Linked DNA regions of Xenopus tropicalis. The protein of the gene in region 1 purifies or fractionates together with the protein of each later gene. This does not show direct contact. Links are inferred from orthologs where the notes say so. Each region holds a gene or a part of one and is shown on either strand. Other genes may lie near its edges. The genes, in order: luzp1 and dapk3.

The links.
Region 2: the proteins of luzp1 (region 1) and dapk3 purify together in Homo sapiens (affinity purification with mass spectrometry; 3 studies listed by BioGRID and IntAct, with this or other methods). This does not show direct contact. The link is inferred for Xenopus tropicalis from reciprocal best matches to the Homo sapiens genes LUZP1 and DAPK3.

Annotation. Positions count from the first base shown.
Region 1 is NC_030678.2:89,344,360-89,357,257, reverse strand, and holds part of luzp1 (leucine zipper protein 1), read left to right. Parts: intron 1-98; exon of another isoform or gene 99-185; intron 186-7,054; 5' UTR 7,055-7,190; coding exon 7,191-10,154; intron 10,155-12,257; coding exon 12,258-12,392; 3' UTR 12,393-12,420; intron 12,421-12,898.
Region 2 is NC_030677.2:93,138,259-93,151,156, forward strand, and holds the end of dapk3 (death-associated protein kinase 3), read left to right. Parts: intron 1-1,182; coding exon 1,183-1,543; intron 1,544-2,134; coding exon 2,135-2,264; intron 2,265-2,764; coding exon 2,765-2,813; intron 2,814-3,864; coding exon 3,865-3,891; intron 3,892-4,022; coding exon 4,023-4,175; intron 4,176-6,725; coding exon 6,726-6,771; coding exon of another isoform or gene 6,772-6,804; intron 6,805-7,453; coding exon 7,454-7,984; 3' UTR 7,985-8,498; downstream 8,499-12,898. UniProt on the Homo sapiens protein: Serine/threonine kinase which is involved in the regulation of apoptosis, autophagy, transcription, translation and actin cytoskeleton reorganization. Involved in the regulation of smooth muscle contraction.

The DNA.
Region 1 (12,898 bases):
TGGCAGTGGGATCCTTGGATAAAAAAACACACTAAGTGCATGAAACAGGTCAAATATTTTAATTCCTTTTCTGAAATGTTCCTTTTTTGTTTCTGCAGGATCAGGTTTTAAGAATAGCTGATGTGTGCTGGAATGGTTTGTGAAGGGAAATATTACTCTGCTTTTGGATGTCGAATTCTTGAAAGGTGAGCACATGTGAAATAATTGCAGTAATGATACTTAATGTGCCGACACATCATAGTTCTTAGAGAAAAATGAAGGAGAAATATGTCTTCCTTTTTATTACAAAATTTTAATATAAAATATTATATGGTCTATTTAAGTTTTAACCTATTATTTGAATAGGTGCTTCTATATTGTTATATTGTCTAAACCATTGAAATTGTGGCCTCCATTGAACAGACAAATAAAAAAATAACATGCTTGGTTAGTTTTCTAGTGAGTTAATAGTTACTTGGGCACTTGGGAGGCAAGTAGTTTCATTCAGAAAAAAGATTTACAGTCTTAAGAAGATCAGTATAATGTCACTAACATCCTTTCCCCAGGATGAGCTAACAAACAAGCATACAAATGCTGTTTTTCTGCTTTAAGTTTTGCCTTTTATTGCTAAACTTGATTAACAAAAGGTAAGCAAACAGACGCCATGTACAGATTGCATCAAAGAGCATCTGTAAAGAAACATTTTGAAAAATGCATTTATATACTGTATAAATAGTATATGAATTAAACAAAATAGATGTCAGGATGAGTTGGTTTATGTTTTGCTGTAAGTAGAGTTGCCGCCTTTTCTGTTAAAAATAACAGCTTTCCTGTATTTTATCTTTCTTTCCTATAACTAACATTGTCATCAAGCATAGGGTTGCCACCTGTTCGGTTTTTAACCAGGCAACCTGGTTTTCCGAAGGGCTGTCCAGATCAAAACCATTTGCCTGGTTTTCCAGACAGGCCACTAACTAATTTACATAGTCATGACTGCTTGTCATAGACCTACCCCCAGTGACATCATTGGCCACCCTCTGCCCAGAATGTACTGATGGCAACCCTAATCAAGCATCATTTTTATGGGCCAGGTGGCAACTGTGAATGCATTTTGAGAAAGTGCTTAGGAGGCGTAAATATATATATTTTTTTTTACAGAATAGTTACAGAATAGTGCTTCTTAACTTTTTTTCAGGGGACCCTAAATCTCTATAATAATAATAATCAGTGGGCAAAGAACAGATGTCTAAATAGAGTTGTCCAGATGTTCAGGTACCCATAGATGCCCTAATAGTAGAGCAAGTATTGAGTGATAAGATGGTATTACAGTTTGGATTAGGGCTGCATTACCTGCATGTTCAGTTAAGTCAAGTTTTTCTTGAAGATGTTTTGCTAGTCATCCAACTGGCTTTCTCTGTTCAGAATTGAGATTGATTCTGAACTGAGAAAGCCAGTACTATAGATATACTTCCTTCATCTTTTGCCTTTCTTCCACTTCTCTGAAAAGATAATTCCTGGATTCACGACAGGTAGGTGGTAACAGGTTAGAGGGAATCTAAAGCCTAGAGAAACAGGTGATCATTTGCTCCATTAATAAATGTGGCAGAGAGGGGAAAGCTGACTGCATCTGGAATGACAATCTTCAGCATGGAGACAGGTGACATTTTACACTGAAGGAATAGTGGGAATGTTCCTAAAGACAAATAGCACTGTTACGGCGGCCATAGGTGCACATTATTTGTCTGTGTATTGTTGGGCATTGATCCTGACCAGTATCCGTCTACTATACATATTAGTCCATTCTGGGATAACGCAAGTTTAAAACATTCATCTACCAATACACCAGTGCATGGTTCATTGCGAGATAAGGAAGGGAAGAGGCTTCTATACTCTTTCTGATAGCTAGTGTGACTTGATCGGAGAAATAAAAGTGTAGCCATAACATGCGTGGCCTTTAGTAAGATCTCCATCCATGTGGCCCGTGAGCCAAACGCTCAGAGAACATAGGAGATTGGCTTTTACATGGCCACCTTTTGGAGAATCTGGTTCTCTCTAGTGGAGAGATGGCGTCTCTCTTTAGAGATGGAGAATTCCCTTTATTTGATTGTTAATGCTCTTGTAGTCCTCCAGAGATGCAGCCATGAGTGCCAGGCAGCCCCACCTGAACATGCTGTGTTCAGGTACCAAGTGTCTGATTGGCTCACACTGCAGGGAGTGTGGAGTGTGAGACAGCACAGCTGCTGAAAGCTTTTATGTCTAAAGCACTGAAGCTGTGGCTATATCTATGAATGGATAAATTAAAAAACAAAACAAAAAAAAAATTATTACTGCAAAATTGCAAGGGTTTCTACATGGTGGGGTGCCACCTATCAATCATCAATCTTATTGCATGCAAATTGGCTTCAAATGTAATTGACCCTTTTGTGTGTCTGAATTGAATAGTGAAGCTGCTGATCTAAGCTGCCTAGCGCAGGGACTGATTTAGATGATCTGTGTAAAGTGTTTAAAATATGTTGACTCTATATAAATAATGGATAACATGTTAAAACAAAATGTGGTCCCCTTTAGCAGGAAAGCAAATCAACTGAAAGGTCATTTAAGTTCAGTGCTTTGCCTAGTGCTGTGATAACATGTAGAGATGTTGAGCAGGGATTAGTGTTGATGCTGTTCTGTATGAAAATCAAGTAATTCTGTGCTTTGTGGATGATGATCCTAGATTGTGTGTAAATAAAAATGTAATGACCTCAAACAATCAGTTATATAAAGTTGGTAACATTGTCAATGCCCCCTAAACTGTAAGTTATATCTTAGTACTATGGTTCCATTTTCACTGTAGGTAAAATTGGACCTATAGCAGATTTGGTTGGGCTTTCAGTTTCATCAACTAGGCATTTCCTATATTTACCCAAAGGGTTTATGAAGGAGCAGTGCCAGCATTGTGTCACTGTATGTACTGTCTGCCCTATGCTGCCTGGGTGTATGGCACACATAGGCAGCATAGGGCAGGCAGAGCAAGGCAAACACAGGCAGCATAGGGCAGAACTCTGCCTGCCCTATGCTAACTGTGTGTACCATACTCTGTTTGCCCTATGCTGCCTGTGGGAGTAGAACCTGGCAATTGGAAATAATCATTTTTAGTCCATAAGGTGTGTAATTATGTGCTGGAGGTTGTTGTGCTACCCACAGGGGGGGAGGAGCCATATGGATTTAAGGGTATGCCTTAATATGACATTATAAACCTTTTTTTTTTTAACATTATAAACTTCTTTCACATATGAAAGAAGGGTGAAATCCCTGCAGTGAGCACCAACCATTTGGGTTTTTGCTGCGCTGCCACCGTTAATGTGGGTATGGTCTTAAAAGCTCTTGTGATGACATGGGTGCAGTTTAAAAAAGGGGAGTGGTCAAAACTGTCTTCCATTATCTGCCCTCCACCATGTAGGCCAGAAAAATTCTGGCCCTCGGTACCACAGAAGTTGGACAGTACTGCATTAGATAAAAAAAAAAAATAAGATTTTATGTGTGAGATAATGGTGATAACTGTTAAATTACAGATACTTTGGTATTTTCCTTTTGCATAGCTTGTTTAGATTAAATATGTCTTTTAATATACAAATGGCATGTGAAGCATTAAGCACTAAGCCAGATGTAGCTGTGTGCCTCAAAACAAAATAATTAAACTGTTTATGATGTCAGTCTAATGTGATGTGCAGTATGGTGCTTGTGCTTAAACTCCATTATAGTAAATCAGGCTTCAAACTCATTATAAAATAGGCCAGATGGGTAGCTTTTATGCAGTGTATAAGTGACAGTTTTGTTTAGTACATTGCAGCATGCCCAGCTGTACAGGCTTAAAGGCTTAACCTTCTTGAACGAGCAAAACATTGTTAGGTATTAAACAGCTATTTCGTTTTGTTGTGGTATTTGGCTTTTAATTTTCTCTTTCCAGTAGATGACAGACATTTGTACTCAGGTAGCTTAATCGGCTGCCACAGTCTTGGATGCTTACGTTAGAGCAACAAACGACATGCTTTTAAATTATCATTAGAGTCCCTTTAAAATGCATATTTTGAAAATGACAAATGCTGTTTCAGTGACTCAGAGTGAATGCTAAATACATATATACAAGTCACAGACAGTTTATACACACACGCACCTGGTTTAGGAATGATACTTTGCTGATATTTGCTGTGTTACTGGTTTCTGAACAGCACAGGTGTGTCTGTCTGCAGGACCGTACAGGTTTGAACATTTTTTTCGTATCCTCACCCTAAACTGTTACTTCATTGTCTCACAAATTTAATCTGCTCCTAAAGTCTCTTAAAATACTATAAATTTGTATCCATTTAGACCTGAAGTCTCTTCCACAATCTAGAGCATTCTTTTCTTTTTTTTATTAATCTTTACAAAGTTTATGCATTGAGAGATATTATTTAAATTAGTCACAAATTAATCGCAGAAATGATAATGTTAAATTGTTTTAAATCTGATGTCCCTATTTGCATTGTTTTCTACAAATGTGCCAGTTTAAAATACTTTCTAAAACTTTGCATCCGGTCATTTCAAACACGGCGATACGGCGATCTTCCCCCTGCACAATCCACTATGCGATGATCCACATCTCCTCCTTGCCTTCCTTCTGTACAGACAAACAATTGACTTCCGGTTTTGGAGTCTGGCAAGGAGAAGATGTCGCTCATCACATAGTGGATTGTAAAGAGGGAAGATCGCCGGTATTTTCTAATAAAGCATTTAAAATAATAAACGCTGGGAAGGATAGGGCAATTATTGGATCAGGGTAGATTAGATTTTTTACTTAAAAAAATTTAGTGTTACTTTTCCTTTAAAAGGAATCCTTAAATATAGGATAGAATTTTTGCATGTGTACATGTATATATGTTAACAGAAGATATTAAAGAAGTTAGGCCTGCATCAGTCTAACTATATTTTTTCATTAAAAGTAATGGATATTTATAGGCAAATTATTGTTGTATAAAAAGAGATTGTTTAGTGCATTTCCATCTCCGCAAGGGGAAGGAAAACGCGTGATTCAAAACAGACACATTTTAATTAAGTCAAGATGTGATAGAATAGGCTTATGCTTGCTCATGTCATCATTTGGTGGCTGTGTAGGTATTCTTTTTCCTCCCTGCCCACATGATAGATCAATGCAAATAATCTCTCAAAAATACAGAGAGGTACAGGGGTACCTGGCAGAAGAAATAGTATAGATGTTTTCTCATTTTTTCCTAGATAGTCATTCAGTTTGCTAGATACACATCACTGCAATAAACCCATAAGAGCTTTTAAGTTCAATCTTGACTAGAAATGTTTGTGCTAAAATAAAGACATGGTGTTTTCACAAGTTTGTTTTTCATGTTTGATATAGATCCAACTCACGAGTCTTGATCAATATCTTAGGTTAGTGTAGGACAGAAGTTTACTCTCTATGTTCTTTACTTTATTATAGCTGCTATTAGTGCCATCCACACTTACCTCTTTTATGTTTGGAGCGGGTCAAGAACGAGCCACACCTTGCTCTGCTAGTGCTCCCTCTGCACTTAGAGTCAAATTTTTATTTTTAAAAACGGAAATTCTCTTCTTTAAGTTACCAAAGGCAGCTTTTTGCCACCCCTGGTAGCTGGCCACTCACTGACCCTGAGGCTAGATTCTTACCTTGTCTCATGGCACAGAGCTAATTTTTAACATGGTTACCTTTTTAGTGAAGATATTTATTACTCTCTGTCTAGTGGACCTTTTGGGCAGCACCCTGGTAACAATATACGATCCGCTTGTTTGTGGAGGCAGCCAGATGAGTGGATCTTTCCATCTATATGCCCATCTAAGGTGGGCAATATCAGAGTAATTAGAGGGCCAAACCAATGAACTACAACATCTGGCCAGTTGTAGGCCTGATATTGTCCATTCAGGGGTTCCCGTACATGGGCAGATAAGCTGCCGAAAATGGTCTGAAGGACCCAAATCAGCTGCTTAAATATGCCTTTGAGGGCCACCTTTAGTTGAGTTTTACAGCAACATTATGGATCTATTAAGGGCATATGCAGGGGAGTGACAGTAAGAAGTAGGTTGTTGTACTCTAGAGGGGTGCATCGTTGCAGGAATTTTTTCGAGATGTAACTAGTGAGATTATTTGATTTATTGGATGTACAGTGTAAAGGAAAAGTTATTAACAAATCTGACCGCAAAGTAAGTGTTATTACTATGACAGTATGGGTGGGTATAAACGCAACAAGTTTTGTTTTATAGTAGAACAACAGATGAACACATGAGATATAACAAAAGAAGATGAAGAACAGGCAAAGAGCAAGAATTTTGTTTCATCAGTATAGATGGTATTTGAAGCCATAAGACCTGATAAGTTTGCTGAGAGAGTGGAAGGACCCTAGAAAAGGGGTTCAATTGGTGACAATATTTTAGCTGGTAAATATGAATGGGACAAACTGGTTGGGAAGATCCGAGCAACTTGACACAGTGTACACTTCACTTTCCCCAAACGTTTTTCACGGTAGGGGTATCAAACCACCCTATCAAAGCAAGAGCTTTTCTTCTTGTGGTAGATTTTTTGTACTGTGCAGGTATCGCTGTTCTAGTTTTCATAGGCAGCAATTTCAAGGATTTTATTTAAACCTCTATACCCCAAGAGGCAATGGGTCCTCTCAACCTGTTGTGGCTTTACAGTCTATAAAACATATTAAATTTAAGATAGTCACTCAAGTCCTTGAGGGCTACTTATGGCATTTGCTTGATTTAATGGGATGCTACCTTCACGGACCAGGGTCCACAGAACATGTTATGCTTGTTTTACATTACAAAACTGTAACCAATAACCAACACAGTGGAGACCGTGCAGCTTAGATTTGGTCCTTAAAGTCACTTGGGGGTGCCTAACATTTTGGCACCCCCAAGTGACTTAGCCTTTTCTTCGTTGACTGACAACTGAAAGAAATGTACACACCACATGAAGCACTTTCATATATAGAATGAATTTTGTATAGAAACATGTTATAAAGATTTGAATGCCTATGGTAATCTTCATTTTATCATTCTTTTTAAGGTTAAAATGATGACTGGATGTCCGCCAAGGTGTGCTTATCAAGAAGAGAAAGGATAATAACTGACTTGCCAACGAACTCATATTAGAAAAAAGATTTGGTAAGGGCTCTTGTGAGAGCCATCAGTTTACTGCAGCCATGGAACACACAAGCAGACATCTTCGCTTTAAGTTACAAAGTCTAAATCGTCGCCTGGATGATCTGGAAGAAGCTACAAGAAATCTTCAGAAAGCAGAAGATGAAGTTTTGGAACTTCAGGAAAAAATTGTCCAAGTAGAAGGGAACAACTCTAGCATGTTGGCAGATATTGACGCTTTGAGAAAGAGGGTTGTAAAAATTGAAGGTAAAGACGAAGAGGTTAAAAAAGCGGAGGATTTGTGCAGAATTGTTAGGGAAAAACTAGAAAATGAAGAAAATGTTACTCGAGAACTTAGGTCAGAAATTGAAATTCTCCAAAAAAAGATGACAGAACTGGAGAAGCTGGAAGAAGCTTTTAGCAAGAGCAAAAATGACTGCACCCAACTGTGTCTTAGCTTGAATGAAGAAAAAAATATGTCTAGGAAATTGACTTCTGAACTTGAAACACTTAGGGCCAGAATTAGAGAACTGGAATCTTCTGAAAGCAAACTGGATAAAGCTGAAGAGTTTTTGACTAGTGAACTTGAAAAGATTAGGTCTTTGGCTGTTGGTTTTGCTAATGAAAGAAAATATTTTCTGGAGAAGGAAAAGCAGAATGAAAAAATAATTCAGGAACTTAAACAGCAGTTAAAAGGTAAAAAAAACATTGGAGACCAGACCCAAAACGAATCAAATGTTTTGCAGCGGTCATCTGATCAGTTACTGGAACACAATAAAATACGGATTGAAGACAATGTGATATCTAAATTGTCTCAAGGAGTTGGTTTTGACTACATTAAATCAGAGAATCAAACAACTAGCGAAAACGAGAGGAATAAACAACAAGAAGACAATAAAATACATGATTTGTGTCAAGAAATTGAGAATCTTAAAAGTCAGATAAAACGATTTGAGGGAATTGACGAAGAGCTCAAACAGTTTAGAGAGAAAAATAGAAAATTGCAAGAAATCTTCCTTGGTGAACAGAATAAAGCCAGACATTTGGATGGTGAACTTAAGGAACTAAAAAGACAAGTTAGTCAGCAGAATGAAGTAGAAAATGGAGTTATTGGTAGCGATGAATTAAGTTTACACAATAAATCGAAAAATGAAAGAGCTAATAAGTCTAAAGGAGTAATACCTGAACCTCCTGCATCAAAATATACTCAGAGAGATTTGTCTCCAAAACAACTGAGAAAAGAGAGACACCGTGACATAGATGTGGATATTTCCTCTAAGAGACATTTATCAAGCACAAGTACAAATAGCAAGAGACCCTTAAAACCTACTTTATCTGACATGACTTTAAGCCATTCAAGGAAATCTGAAGATAGACTAACTTCCAATGTATCTGCTGCTAAAGAGTTTGGAGCTCTACATGAAATAAAAAAGGCTAAAGATCAGCCATCTGTATTAAGTCGATATCCACCAGCTGCCCAAGAACACAACACCCAAAAAACATGGAAAGCATCAACAGGAAATAAAGATGTATCCGCAAAACAATTTGGAGAAGACTATTCTATTAAAGTTACTCAGATTGTTGACTCAAGAAAAGAGAGCACATCTGAAGAAGATGAAGATTTAAATGAGACTCCTGGTGCCAAATCAGACAAAGTCAATTCAAATTTTCATGAAGTGCAGTTGGATGATAACTCTTCATCTGCATTGCATTCAGAACCAGTCACTTCTGGGTTAGAGGGGACCTCTCCAGATAAATATACGGCAAAAATGGTGGAAGTACAAACTAAGACTGCTCCTAATTCAGACAGTAGTGAAGTAAAGGACATATCTCGGGATAGACCTTCCAGATACTCGCGTCTTAAATCAAGAATGGATAGCATCACAAACTCTTCTGACACTGCCCAATCCACCAAGCCACTATCAAGTAAAGATAGTGGAAATCAAAACTTAAATTCAAATAGAGTGTCATATAACAGAGAAAGACAAAGACCATTATCATCTTTAAAGCCACAAATTCCTGAAAAACCTCATATTTCAGAATCTACTGAAAATAAAGAATGGGACAAAAGAAATGTAACTTTAAGAATTCAGAACAGAAGACAGTCAAATCCTAAAGAAAAGACACACGTACTGGAGCAGAGGATTTCCCAGTTTGATATGGACAGTCAGCAACAACAAAGAGATTCATTATCTGACATATCCAGAAGAACATCTTCTGATAATTCAGAAAGCATGGAAAAACCTTCCCGCATAGAAATAAGGGCAAGATCATATAGCCCAAGAGAAGCTTTGCAATCCACAGTGATCATTAAGCCAGTTATTGTTGAAAAAGACACAAAAGAAAGTATGGGCGAATACAGAGCAAGATCCAGTGCAGAACAGAGTAGATCACAAATTAACACAACAACAAATAAAGTGACAAGTAGCATAACATTTTTTCCAGCCGAATCACCTTCATCTCGATCTAACACAGATGAAATCATAAAACAAAGGCATACTTCTACCAGTAATATTCGGCTATCTGCCAATGACCAACCTTTGTTAAATAACATAAGTATCCCATTTGAAATATCAATCAATAAACAAGATATGTTAAAATTGGTGGATACAAAAGATAACTTGGATCATAAGGAGAACAGCAAGGCTTTTGACCCTGGCAATTTCAAAGAACAAATGAAAAACAACAATAATAGTGTTGGACTAGAAACTGTTTTGCTGAAAAGTCATGAAATTGAAGGGAATCATTTGGATAATAAAAGTGTAAAGGTAAGAAGTTCTTATGGACGCAATGTGTTTGGATCCACTGAAGAACTAGATATTTTGTCTAATCACAAAGATGTGACAGTGGATACTAAGCACAGACGAAGGTCTGCTTTCGAGGATGAGAGACCTGGAAAACTTCATACCCGGGAAATGTATTCAAGGAACAGGAATTCTTTTGAAAACAGTTGTACAGTCAATGAAACGGTTTCCAAAAGGAGCTCATCTGCAGGACTTAATTCCTGGAATCGCCTGAGCACAGAGGTATGACATAGCTATTTTCTTTGTGCTTCTGTTGGTTTAGTGCTTTTATTGGTTTAGCATATTATGTTCTTAAATAAGGGTTTTAAAACAAAATATATTTGTCATAATCATTTAATCAGAAACAGATAATTTTAATAAATAACATACAAGTGCATGCAAAATAATTCATATATTGGAGAAAATCAACATTTTTTGACGTGAAGATTAGTCATTATGTCCCTTTTAGGAATAAACTTTTGTTATTGATATATTAAGTATTTTTAAGCTTTTGAAATCCTGATCGGTAGTGGAAAAGAGTCCACAATAATTTTTATTGCAGTAACTTTTAGCAACCAGTCAGGATGCCCCAAATCCACTATTTTCGGATTCAGCCGAACCCTTTGTAAAAGATTTGGGCGAATACAGATTTGGAGCCCTGATTTGCATGTGTAAATTAGGATATGGACGGGTTATAGAGCACCATGCGCTGCACATGCAGAAATTTTTTTTCAACTTTTAGGTTTGTGACAAAAAGTCTTGTGATTTTAAGGATTCAGATTCGGTTCTGCAAGGAGTGTCAATTCAGCTGAATCCAAATCCTGCTGAAAAAGGCTGAATCACAAACCAAATCCTGGATTCGGTGCATCCCTACATAGAAATATGGGTTTATTTGCTCAGGTCTAAAGGCAAGGTATCAGTAGGTGCATCAGAGAAGTGATAAGTAGAATCAGCACTGCAGATGTGAAGAGAGTTGGGTTTAAAAAATTGGTAAAAAAAAGCTTAGACTATTATGTGAAGTGTAGCAAGGTTTGTAAATTAATTAATTATGCTTAAAGCCCAACAGAGCCACATTAAGTTGCCCACACACAGGCTGGTTATACTCTTCAGTCTTTTCAACCAGATTGGCCAGATTTAGTTCTGGCTTTGAGCTTATTGCTAAAAGGGGAACAGTCACATTAAGAAATCATTCCAAATCCTGTTTTATCATGTTGGTTGAGCATTTAATAAACTTTACTTACACTACATAAATTCTATAAATCTTTTTAACCCTCAATCTTGCAAGTACACAATTACAGCAAGCAAGTTATTAAGACAAGCTGTGCATCATACCAAAATTTTGTTTATGCTCCACAATTAGGCACTTGATGCCCATGTACAGGATACATAAATGCAATGAAATCTAGGAAGTGCTGAATAGAAAGTGAAAGAAATTGCCTGCCCCACCTCTATGCCTGAAGCAGGCAATGTATGATTGACAGCCCAGATTTTTAAATACCTTTTGTAAAAGGTATGATTGTTTTAATAAAAAAAAGAATTTGGATTTAAGTTTAATTTGCAAAGGACCTTTTAAATACAGCTTTTTATGTGTGGGTGACAGGTCCTCTTTAAGATGATTAAAATCTATTTAGAATCAGAGACTTTTTTGAGTTTTGGTCAGCAATTGTGTGAGGTTATTAGCCAGGAAGTCTTTCTAGGTGCCCATATACACAGGGCCTGCACATCTTGAATTTTCTTAGGTTATGGCCCCGGCAGTTGATCAACCCACCAAACGCCCTGTTTATCAGAGCTTCAAAATAATTCCGAAAGCCACAAAACCTTTAATGTCTATGTACAGCACTAAAGGAACAAGGAAAGGTAATTTTGGCGTGCTATATTTTGTAAGGCACTCATTGCTGACCGCATCATTTAACCTTTCTTTTCCAGCTGGTGCCCATATTTGATAAAATCAATTTTCTGCCCAGCATATATCCTTATACCCACCATCCATATTTTGGCTTATTTCTCACTTGCTGCTCTCAACTCAATGCATTCTAATAAGTCTAATAAGAGGAATGTGTTAATAATACATGTACATGTGCATGGCCTAACAGACCAATAGCCAAGATAGCTTGTTTCCAGGTAAAAGCCAGGCACCGAACTGGAACACTAGCTGGGAATGACATTAATGACTAAAAACACCAGAGGATGTCTTAAAAAAATGCTAGGTAATTTTTCTGGATTCTCTAGTTCAAAGTATAATAAATGAGACCATAGTGTTTTACAGGTGTTACTGGCCCTTTAAGCAAGATAAAGTTTTGTCCTACCATATGGTGTTAATATCCTCTCCCTTCCTTTCCTATTCAGAGTGAGTACAGTTATAGCTCTAGGAGAAAGGCGAACAATCTTGAAAAACTGACAAAAGTCGACACTTCTGGGAGTAAATCTTTGCATCAACAGCCAAGCATGGTGGAGGAACGGATACGAAGGTTAGAGCAATAACCCGTGGAAGAAGTACAAGCCTAAGAAGGTGAGCTGCCTTCTATTTGCATTTATGAATACAAACATTGTGCTGTCAAGGCTATAACAAAAACGTGTTGCATTGTGCTGCATTTTTGATCACAAATGGTATGTTACATGAATCTGCTCACAATGAATTGATTATAGATTTAAATATTGCTGTAAAAAAATGATGCAACAATCTTTTTTCAGTAATGAAAAAAATGAGGTTCATAGCGCTTAACATTGTAGAACTGCAGCCAATTGGTTTATTTGACACTTTAGTGGAACAGCATGCAAAGTTTCATGATTTTCTGCCCTTGGTAAGGGCTCTTGCACATGAGCTTTTCCTTGGGGTCGATCTTTGATGTGTTTCACCCCAATAAAATGCCTGAAGAAATGCAGCCTGTTCTTTTCTATATGTTTGTACCCAAGTTGTGTTCCATCTGCATTTTGGAGCTTCCCTGTAATAGATGTTTTAAAAGAACAGGCTGCATTAACATGTGCAT
Region 2 (12,898 bases), on another chromosome or scaffold:
GAATTAAACTTCAGGAGCCAAATTTCAGCTGGGGTGAAACATTCCTTCTTTCACCTAAGGAATATTGCAAAAATTAAACACCTCATTCCTTCTGAGGTTCTTCCAACCCTAGTTCACGCCTTCATCTCATCACGACTGGACTATTGCAATGCCCTCTATGCAGGCCTTCCAAATAAAGACTACACCGCCTGCAGCTAGTACAGAATGCTGCCGCAAGATTGCTAACCAGCCAACCCCGCCATTGCCACATAACACCAATCCTTCGCTCACTGTACTGGCTACCCATAAAATGGAGAATCCTTTTCAAAATTGGGATGCTAACATTCAAATCCCCACATGGCCTGGGCCCCGGATACCTGAAGGACTTGCTGCAACTACGTCACACCTCCCACAATCTTAGATCAAATGGATCCAATAATCTGACCACCCCCAGAGTTCAACTGAAAACCTTTGGATCCAGAGTTTTCTGTCATGCTGCCCCTACCCTGTGGAACGCCTTGCCAAACGGGATCAAGACAGCTCCAACCTTGGACACATTTAAATCAAAACTGAAAAGCCACCTGTTTAGCCTGGCATTTATGGCCACATAACTTATCTGAGACAAGCTTATGCGCTTTGGGTCCCACGGGAGAAAAGCGCTTTGCAAATGTTTGTTGTTGTTGTTGTTGTTGTTATATTCAGCTTAAGACCTATTTATCTATATGGGGAGTATACTGGGCATTTAAATAGCCCTGTCTCAAAATAGCATGAAATGTTGCCATTATGATCCCCTAGTGGATTTCTACCCCATAATTATGTTACTTGACATTTTGGGAGGTTATTACAAGATTTAAATACAAGCTCTCATTACTATGTTGATGGTGAACAGTAAGTGGCTATTTTCTTTTTACATCTTTTACAAATATGGCCATAGTGGTTAAATTTCCTTAATCAGTCCTTTTGCTTATCCTTGCCTTCAAAGAACCAACATTTATGTGGATAATAGGGCAGCACTGGAAATTAAAGAGTGAAAACTGAGCTTGCCAGAGAAAAAAAACACAGCTCAAACTAGTGTTAGTAGTGGGTTAGGAGATGATTAGAGATGATTTTTGAGTACTTATTAGGTGAACCCTGTTTTCATGAAAATGCTCACAATGTCTAAATTGATATGAATAATTTTTATTGATTTATTTATTTTACTAGTGGGCAGTTTGCAATTGTGCGGAAATGCCGCGAGCGTTCTACCGGTGTGGAGTATGCAGCCAAGTTTATTAAGAAGCGCAGATTGTCATCTAGTCGCCGAGGTGTGAGCCGTGAAGAAATTGAGAGGGAGGTAGACATACTAAGAGAAATTCAGCACCCCAACATCATCACCTTACATGATGTGTTTGAAAATCGCACAGATGTGGTCCTGATACTTGAGCTGGTTTCTGGAGGGGAGCTTTTTGACTTTCTGGCACAAAAGGAAAGTTTAAGTGAGGAAGAGGCAACCATGTTTCTGAAGCAGATTCTTGATGGGGTTCACTATTTGCACCACAAGAATATTGCACATTTTGACCTCAAGGTATGTCTCCATCAGCTCTTGCTTAATAATTATTTATAATATTTTACAGGGAAACATTCGTATATTTAGATCCTCGCAGACTGTCATATATGGCCCCCAACAAACACTGGGGCCATATATGCCATATAGGCATTTGAGGGCCCAGTCTTAGGTCAGCAGCTTTAGGGGGTGGCCCTAGGGTGCTTATATATTAGTTAAAGAAATGAGAGGAAAAATCTACCTAGCCCTCCACCGGGTACTTGTTCCTAAATCTGGTGAAGGAGGTGAGGGGGTGTTCTTAATTGTCAGTGAAGGGAGCAGGCTGTGGTCCAGTGCCTATGGCAGCATAGGACCTTTGGACCTAAATACAGTCCTGGCAACAGGCTATAGGCGGAGGATGCATGGGATTTGTTCATACAATTGTTTTATAGTAATGGTTTATTCATGCATGTAAATATATTGCAGTACATTTTCATATCCAGTTGATACAAAAATAATTACAATACTGGTAGTATTAATAGTGTTAAATTGAAAACATAGATGTTAAGTTGTTTAGCTGTGAGGAAATTGTTGGTCCATTTATCTGTTTATCTGCTTTTTGTTTTTATACAGCCAGAGAATATCATGCTTCTGGACCACAGCTCCCCCAGTCCAAGAATAAAACTTATAGATTTTGGAATTGCTCACAAGATAGAAGCTGGGAATGAATTCAAAAATATCTTTGGAACTCCAGAATTTGTAGGTAAGAGAGACTTGGGAAATGGTTGTGTTATTATCCAAGATTCACTTTTATTTGTTATCTTTTTATTTACCATTTTTTACATTATTATTAACATATTTTCCAGGGTATCCTGGATAGTATAACCAACCAACAAAAGATGGATGTTGTCAGTGATTTGTAAGAAAAACGGAGACAGACTGACTTAGAACAAATATGTAGAGAAGCGTAGAGAAGCATTAAAGTAAATTCCTTTCCAGTGGTTTAGATCAGTGCTGTCCAATTGTGGCTAAGGTCTTAATAATGTTTGTGTTAATATTGGTGTGGTTTTAAAAAGGGAGTGAACAAACCTCACGTCCATTATCTCCCGCCACCATTTAGGCCAGAAAAATTGTGGCCCTCGGTACCTCAGAGATTGGATAATGCTGGTTTAGATAAGCCCAGAGTCCTCGGTTTTGTAGTTCTTGTGTTCCAAAGAGTCCAGGGCAAGATTCTAATTGACTTTTAAACTTCTTCTACTCCAGCTCCTGAAATCGTAAACTATGAGCCATTAGGACTGGAAGCTGATATGTGGTAAGACTGACCTTATGTGTACCATTTAAAAGGATGGGGGAATTTGTTAGATGGCATGGAATATTACAGGACTGCTACAGGGAAGAAATTATTCAAGGAACCAACACTTTTGTGGGTGGCGTAATGGTCTCAAAGATGTTTTAATATCTTTTTCAAAAATAAGTAAAAAATGGGGGATTTTCAAGGTGTTTTATTTAAATATAATTACATTACAAACATAATGCAAAACATGTTTTTGGGTGACGTTTCCTTGTAAGTAATGTGTTTTACTATTCAGATAATACAAAAGAAAAATATAAATAAAACAAGCAGCCACCCTTTTACTACAGTGAGTCAGGGATATAGACTGTTTGGTATGCTATGACTAACCAGCCAAGTATTTTCCCTGGTCTGGCTTGTTTGTGAAGTGTAGAAATTTTATATCCAAGTTTAGGCAATAGCATATGCAAGTGAAAAGACCATCCATGATCATGTCCTAAATGAAAAGGCTGATGCATTATTTTAAGTACATTTTGATCCTATTTTTACAACTTTTATATCTCTTTACCAGTCAGTGATTAGTTTTTTTCCAGCCAGCTGCAGGTAGAACAAAGAATACTGTCATGGAAAAACATGTTTTTTTTTTGTTTTTTTTTTCATCAGTCAATAGAGCTTCTCCAGCAGAATCCTGCATTGAAATCCTTTTTTCAAAAACATAAAAAAAATTTTTATAATTAATTTTGATTTCATGCCTGTTACAGATAAGAGGTACAAATATGCCGGTAACAGTACTAGTACTGTCAAATTCAAGTAAATTGGAGGTGGTTTTGGTGGATTCAGGCACATCTCTGCCAGTTTAAATGGCCAGTGTACCATTGGCCTAACGTTTTTTTAAGAAGATACTTTATTTTATAATAATAATGCATTTTTTTTAGACGTGTTTTTTTTTTTTTTTTTTTTAATAAGATTAAACTCTGGGCTTTCATGGATGAACATTAGTCAAGTAGGAAAATGAAAAAAATAAAATGTTAATGTGCTAATGACTACAGCTATATCCATTGTTTCCCTGCAGGAGCATTGGAGTCATCACATACATTCTGTAAGTATGTTATAACCAAGAATTTGTCAGGTACCACTATGCTTCTTTCTATTAGTTCTTGTTATAAAACATATGCAGATAGCATAATTTTTTTCTGACTTTATAGCCTTTGAAACTTGCCTTTTATTCAGCCTCAGTGGTGCATCACCATTTCTTGGAGACACCAAGCAGGAAACTCTGACCAACATTTCAGGTGTGAATTATGATTTTGATGAGGAATATTTCAGCAACACTAGTGAACTGGCTAAAGATTTTATTCGTCGGCTATTGGTCAAAGATCCAAAGTAAGTTATTTTCGCATCTCATCTTTTCTTCCCATTATTGCTAGCTTTTGTTCTTGAAGAGAGAACTGATAATACAGATAGGGACAGCAGTATGGGACAGCACTCCTTTTTCACTTTTTCATGTTAAAATAAAGTATTTACATTTCAGGTCCCTTTGTAATTGGGGCATCAGCGGCAAGCAGGGTAAAATTTGCACAACAAATGGTGGGGGGGGCATTAAACCTTTGACCTGATAGTGTTGGGTGAAAATTTGATGTGTCAAAACAAGGCTGCTGTCGGGGCGGGGGTGGGGCAAGTGGGGACTGTTGTCCTGGGCCTAGCTGCATTACAAAAGTTACAAAAAGTGAGCAAGTTACATTAAAACTTATGCAGTTTAGGTACCTTGAACAACAATTTAACTTAACTTGCCTAGAGACTTATGTAAAAATATGGATCAAGCAATTACAGTGCAGAGAAGCTTGACAAAAGCAGGCAGGAGCAAAGGAGAACTAAACCCTAAAAATGAATATGGTTAGAAATGCCATATTTTATAAACTAAACTGACTGCACTAGCCAAATGTTAAGTTTCAGCAATGATATAAGACTTTACAATTGTCACAGGAGCTCCTCATCTTGGATTCTTTTAGAATGGTCTGGGACAGTGCACATGCTCAGTGAGCTCCGAGCAGCTGTTGAGAAGGGGTTGTTGCAAATTATCAAGCAGAAAATCAGGTTGGCCTGTCAAATAACCTGCTGCTAACGGGCTAATTATTAAAATCTGATGCCAATTGCAATGGTTTCCGAGCTGCCATGTTATGTGAATCCAAATGAATAACTAATCAGCCTTGTACAGTTACATTTATATTCTATATACACAGTATATTCGGTGCATTGGTCCCCAAGCTCAGTAACTGACAGCAGCACAGAGCATGTGCAATGGATCAGCAGAAAACAAAATGGGGAGCTACTGGGGGCATCTTTGGAGGCAGAGATCTTCCCTGCTAAATGACTGTGGTTTCCTTGGGCTGGTACAGAAGCCCAAAACATATTGTACACCATTTCTACCCTATTTCTTTAGTTAAGCTTTAGTTCTCATTTAGGGCAATTTCCATTTCCCCCAATAAACTGACTTTATTAGAACATTAATTAATGGAACTATTTATAAACTACCTATTATAGAGTAAAATCATCTGTTAATATTGGGATCTATTTACTGAAGTATATGAGCCTCTCCTACGTGAACTTTCTGGCAGTGGAATGAGTAGTTAATGGCCCCGCAGAAAGATCATTGGGCCCCTGAATTTATTATAAAAGTATTTATGTGAACTACTACTGACTAGTTATTGGTGTATATGTACAGGTATGGGAACTATAATCCAGAATGCTCGGGACCTGGGGTTTTCCCAATTTGGATCTCCATAACTTAAGTCTGCTAAAAATCATTTAAATATTGATAGCAGAAGTTATGGAGATCCAAATAGGACAATTCTGCCTCCAATAAGGATTAATTATATCTTAGTTGGGATCAAGTACAAGGTTCTGTTTTCTTATTACAGGGGAAAAAGGGAATTATTTGCTTATAATGGAGTCTATGGGAGGTGGCCTTTCCATAATTCAGAACTTTCTGGATAATGGGTTTCCGGATAAGGGATCCCATACCTGTACTACATGTACACAATTTTCGTAATTTATTGAAAAACTTAAGTTTGTGGGAACTTCTGTAACGTCTGTATCAAGCAATGACAGCGCAGACCAGTCTGATGGGTCAGGTAGGTGGGTATGTTTTAACTTGGGGCAAATTCTATTGCCCCCCCCAATAAATTGACTGACTTATTGGCACATTACTTAATGCAACTATTAATATGAACTACTTATTATGGAGTAACAACAGCTTGTTTATAAAATAAATTGCCATGTCACTATTTTAATAGCTGCAGCTAGTGTTGTGAAGTTATTAAATAGTGTTGCATATTGTATTGCTCAATATTCTTATGCGCCTTTAAGGAATAATTCCCAGGGGTATTGCCAAATTGTCATTAAAGTCAGTCTATATAGTATGTTAAATGTCTCCTTTACGGTGTATCTATACACCAAACCAATTTAATAGGCACAAATGCAAGTTAGTGTTGCTAAGCTGTGTTTTATCATGGGGTGCATCTGCCTTACAGCCAGATCCCTTTTAACACTGTTACACCAAACTTAGTCCATGCACACTCAAATGCTTTTTTAACACAGCTATGTCTGCATGAAAGGGCTCTTTCCATTCCTGTCCCTATATAGTTACCCCCTGCTTTTGATTAAATAGAAAATATAGGTTGAATATATAGGTAGAAATATAGGTTGAAAAAATACATCCAGCAAGTGCAACCTTTTGTCCCAGCAAAATAATGACTTTTTCTGATTCAACTTCGAAATTATATGGGAGGGGGTTCAGAAGTAAAAATGTCATGCTTTCGCATGGCTAGATTTTGTGGCAATGTCTGTAATCTAGGTAGTCGATTTTTTTTTTTTTTCGTTAAATGAAAAAGCAAGGCTGATTTTTGGTTTTTTTTTTCTTGTTCTTTTTTTTAGAAAAAGAATGACCATTGATCAGAGTTTAGAGCATTCGTGGATTAAGGTGAGAGGACCTTCAGCCCTTCACACTACAAAGGTCTACTTTTTTTCAGTCATCTAAATGCGAAGACACACAGAACTATTTGTTACAGCTACTTAATGCCAGAAAATGCCCTGCCATAAACAATACTGAGAATTGCCTCTGCTAAAACACACGTATAGACCATTATTGGTAAATTATTAGCATTGTGTATTTTTGTAGCCATGACAAGTTGCTGCTGCTAGTAGCTCTGTGTGTCTTCACCCTAATGGTAATAGTCTTATCTGGCTAAGTAAAAAGGTTGTAAACATAAAAAATCTAAGCAGCTCTCTGATACATTTATTACACATTTCAGATTTGTAAATGTAATTGCTAATGAAAGCATGTCTGTCAGTCCTTTGCCATTCTGTGCAGTCAATGCTTGTTTTCACTGTTGAAACAATAATGTAAGATAAAGATAGTAACAAGCATATAAACCACTCTAAGCGTGCTCAAAAACTATAATATCTGTGTTGTCTTAACAGAGCTGCAATGAAATCAGACTATACCCTCTAACATAAAACTCTTGACTGTAACTAGTGCTGATTTAAAAACTGTAACAGTGCATTGTATCCTGTTGGCTATAGTAAATTGTTTACTTTTGTTAAAAAAAATCCAAGTCGTTTAAATTTATACATTTTAATATAGTTTATACTTCCATTACTAGGCTATCAAGCGTCGAAATGTCCGACATGAGGACAGTGGAAAACGTCCTGAACGTCGTCGCCTGAAGACTACTCGTTTGAAGGAATACACAATAAAATCACATTCTAGCATGCCCCCAAATAACACCTATGTGAATTTTGAAAGATTTAGCCATGTGTTGGAGGAGCTAGGAGCAGCAGAAGATGCACTTCGTGAGCTTCAAAAGAGTCAGGCCACCTCACGCGAGGACCTTTGCGCCCTGCGCTCTATCTATGAGGAAAAGGAAAGTTGGTACCATGAAGAACAGGAAGGAGTTGGGCGCCAACTAGTAGGGCTCCGGCAAGAACTGCAGCGCAGAGAGGGTCAGCGTCGGCAGGTACAGGAGGATTTAAGGGGAGCTATGCTTAGTGCCAATGCTCTGAAGAGAAGGTTTGGTAAACTGGAAAATAGATATGAGGCCCTGCAGGTGCAGTTCACTGCAGAGATGAGCTTTGTGGAAGATTTATTAAAAACTGTGGAGAGAGGTGGAGATGGATTAAGAGGGGTTTGCTGAAAAATGTATGTTTCTTTTCCCAAATAACCTTGGATTATTTCAGTCCTACTATTTAAAGACTGCAATTGTACCTGAATGCGCTTATGCTCTTATGTTTAACCACTTCCTGTACATTCAGCGTTAGCAGGTATGGACAGTATTTAGTTCTGTACATTGGCATAGTCATTTACACTTACAGTTTAGTGATCCAGACCAAAATTTGGTGTAGACATTCCACATACATATCTATGCAAATAATGTGGATTATGTCCCCATTCCTGTCCAAAGCACTGGAGTTACACCAGTGCACTTTATTTATGTACTGTTATTAGACTGTTATGTCCTGCACTAAAATGCTTGTGTTGAAAAATACTGTTCTGAATAATGGTATCAAATTGCACCTATATAAAAGAAAAATATTATCTGACAACTTAAGGCTATGTGGGTACATGTGCTTGGACATTACACCACTGTATTATAACTTAGAATTGTCATTCCATCTAAAAATAAAGGCTTAATGTCCATCAACTAAAACTTTTTTGGTATTGTATTTGTCTATACAAATTTGCTCCCCTGCGGCAAATTCGAGAGACTTCAGGTGGGGTTTTTTTTTGCCTTCCTCTGGATCAACGCAGTTTAGATATAGGTATTAGGTTGAGCTTAATGGACATATGTCTTTTTTTCAGCCTAACTTATCCTATGTATATGTTACCGCCAAGTAAATGTTCCTGTTTTATTATTACAGAAAAAAAGTAAATATTTTCCAAAAATTAGAATTAACTCTACGGGAGATGGCCTTCCCATAATTTGCAACGTTCTGGATAAAGCATTCTGTAATTACCTCGGTTTATGTTTCTTGCAAAACAGCATACATTCAATGAGGGAACAAAAACTCAATTTCAGGAAATTAAATTAAGATCAGTATTTATTTTTAGTACATAGATTGGGACATTTTTTCAGCTTTATTCCCCAGTAGATCCTTCCTGCGGGCCGCAAGGGCATCCATTGTGATTAGAAGAAAGAAGGTTCCATCTAAATATTCTGAAAAGGGTTTTACAGTGAGAGCTGTAAAGTTGTGAAATTCCCTACCTGAATCAGTTGTGCCGGCTGATACATTAAATGGAACCAATCATCAACCAAAACGGTTTCCCCCACCAGAGGTGCACGAATTGTTATGTGCATGTGTGTGAGGTAGAAGGGTGAATCGCATCCACCGCTCCTACATCATGCGCATGCACAAAATGTGCAAACAGGGAGACTAGCTCATTATACGTGTGTGGGGCAAACAACATGGCCACCCACACTGGTGCGGGCAGCCTAGTAATGGTGGGACCTGTGGTGTGTTTTTTTATAAACTATTTTCCCCCCCAACTTGAATGCGGGCTCTATTAGCCCACACCTCCTAGACAAGCTGGCAATCAGGGTGGTTAAGTTGTAGATGAGATTCAGTGCTCATAATAGTATGTTTATGTACCTGAGATTTAAAATATACAAAGCACTTTTAATTTTAATTATACTAATGCAAATCCTTCATGGAAAAGGACTTGTAAGTGCCTAAAAGGTATTGTTCTGTATTTTAAAAAAAAAAAAAAAAAAAAAAAGAATACAAGGCACTAGTTAGGGCCATCTAGAATATGTTTTGATATCATGTGCTCAAATTTGAAAGCTGAAATAGTGTCCAAAAAAATCACTAAGCTAATAAACGGCATTGGAACTCTTAGTTATGACGAAAGTCTGGCCAAGTTAGAACTTTGAATTTGTAGGACCTAAAGTGGTTGTACTGAGAGATACATTGGATGACTTTTTAGCAAGTGAGAAAATACAGGCTTACTAAAATTAGCTTTTAATGGAGAATGAAAGCACCAGTCATTTAGAGATGCCAAATGTTAGGCAAACCCAAGTGATTGTAATCACTTACCTGATACTGAACATAACATAACAAAAAAGATTGCTTTTTCACTCTACCGTTCATGCGTCAGCCCTTGGATTTTGAAAGATTCTTGAAATAAAAAGAAGAACCGTAAAGGAGGATTGCTCCTTGGTTCTCACACAGAAGTACCCTGGCCCAGTGCAGTTTTCTGCTAACAGGAGCACCAGCCCAGGGTATCAGGAAACGATTACAATCACAAATTGTAAAGGATTGGAGAGTGGGATTTTTCCACCTTCCTCTAAATTAACTAGAAGAATTAACCTTAATATATAAATAGTCATAAATTGGTACCACTCATAATGGAGTTAACAATAGTAAGGCCTCACCTTGAGTATGCAGTGCAGTTTTGGGCTCCAGTCCTTAAGAAGGACATTAATGAGCTGGAGAGAGTGCAGAGACGTGCAACTAAACTGGTAAGAGGGATGGAAGATTTAAACTATGAGGTTAGAATGTCGAGGTTGGGGTTGTTTTCTCTGGAAAAGAGGCGCTTGCGAGGGGACATGATTAGTCTGTACAAGTACATTAGAGGGGATTATAGGCAGATAGGGGGTGTTCTTTTTTCCCATAGAAGCGATCAACGCACCAGAGGTCACCCCTTTAGATTAGAGGAACGGAGCTTCCATTTGAAGCAGCGTAGGTGGATTTTCATGGTGAGGGCAGTGAGGTTGTGGAATGCCCTTCCTAGAGATGTGGTAATGGCAGATTCTGTTAATGCCTTTAAGAGGGGCTTGGATGAGTTCTTGAACAATCAGAATATCCAAGGCTAATATGATACTAATATCTACAGTTAGTATTAGTGGTTGTATATATAGTTTATGTATGTGATTGTATACATTGGTAGGTGTGGGTTGTGTGTGCTGGGTTTACTTGGATGGGTTGAACTTGGTGGACTCTGGTCTTTTTTCAACCCTATGTAACTAAAAGGTTCTGGCTACCGGCTGCCTTCTAGTTTCCTCACTATCACCTTTTTTCTCTGATTTTATAAATTCATTATAAGATTGTAATTAAGATAAAATGTCAATGTATTTCTCTCTAAGAATTTTGTCCTTAAAGGAGAAAGAAAGGTAAAAACTAAGTAAGCTTTATCAGAAAGGTCTATGTAAATACAGCCATAAGCACTCACAGAAATGCTGCACTGACTTCTCTGTAAAAAGATTTCTTGTGCCAGAAACACACAGTTTTCTGCTGTCTCCTCTCTCCTGCTCCCCCCTCACTCAAGAATCCTAAGAACTCACCCCCCCCCTTAGGAATGTGGATCTGAGCCAATCAGCAGGAAGCTGACTCATAGTCTAACTAACTGAGCATGTTCACTTGGTCTTGGTGCAGGAGCGAGGCATTATGGGAACTTTCTTTACAGAGCCCAGCACTTTTTTTTCCTATGAGGCTTCTGATGATCTGAACAGGAGAAATATGGGGAGACTTAAAGGCACTATTGAGAGAACAGAAGGTATGCCTGCAGCTTGAGATTAATGCTTTATTCGCCTTTCCTTCTCCTTTGATAACAGTAATGTCATGGGAATGAGATACATTACCAATTTGTTGAATTGTAGAAAGAGCTTGAGCCACACTGGTGCTTGGTGTTTGAAAAGTCCCTCTGTGAAACCAAGGGTGATGGAGCAGCCGCTGCCTGTAATTCAACCCTTTGCAGTTATCCACTTGAAGCACCAGATTGTTCAGGGGTTGCAGTGTACTGAGGTCAGGATAGTGCAGGCCATATGTACCTACTTGGGGTAGACCTTTCTTTGCCCTGCATCTCTACCGGTCTTTTGCACTTAATGTCGCACTTTTTGCAGGACTTTTTAAACAAAGAGCTTAAAGAAGAAGTAAACCTTTTTTTTCTATTTCTAAAATTACTCTAAACAACCCCCAGCATAACATACCTTAAGCTGGCCATACACGTGGCGATCTGACGATGTTTTGTACGACCATCGGTCGCACGAAACATCGTCAGATCCGCCACACACCATTCAGGGCTGAATCGGCAGGTAAGGAGGTAGAAACAATAGGATTTCTACCTCCTTCTGCCGATTCAGCTCTGAAGGGAGAATTTTGGTCAGGCGCCTTCTATGGCGCCCGATCAAAATTTTCTAACCTGGCCGATCGACGAGCCGACTGATTTCAGCAGCTTCCTGCGACATCGGTCGGCTCGCTGACATACCTTACACGCACCGATTATCCTACGAAACGAGGTTTCGTACGATAATATCGGTGCGTGTATGGCCACCTTTAGTCCTGGCATGCCCAGATGGCTCTCCTCTTCGATTTTCCTGTAGTCAAAGAGATATGAAGAGGGGGCAGGGCTTCATGCTGTACCAGGAAGTAGAGGAAAGGAAAAACAGATAAGACTGCTTTCTAAACTAAGGTCTGTTGGTCTTAGTGAAGTCGTTTGCACATGGATTGAAAACTGGCTACAGGATCAGGTACAGAGGGTGGTTGTTAATGGTACATTCTCTACTTGGAATAAGGTTCTAGTAGTTAGGCAGGTTATATATAGGCATTATGGTTGAACTTGATGGACGTATGTCTTTTTTCAACCCAACTTACTATGTTACTATGTTACTATGTTCTCAGTGGGGTCCCTCAGGGTTCTGTACTGGGTCCACTTTTGTTTAACTTGTTCATAAATGACTTGGGGGAGGGTATTATGAGTAATATATCAGTGTTTGCAGATGACACAAAACTCTGCAGACCAGTCAATTCTATCCAGGATGTGACATCCCTGCAGCAGGATCTTGACCAACTGGCAATCTGGGCAGCTAAGTGGCAGATGAGATTTAATGTGGATAAATGTAAGGTCATGCACCTGGGATGTAAAAATATGCAAGCCCCGTATACCCTTAATGGGACTGCACTAGGCAAATCCCTAATGGAGAAGGACCTTGAAGTCCTTGTAGATAATAAACTTGGCTGTAGCAAGCAATGCCAGGCAGCAGCTGCAAGAGCAAACAAGGTTTTGAGCTGTATTAAAAGGGGCATAGATTCACGGGAGGAGGGGGTTATTCTTC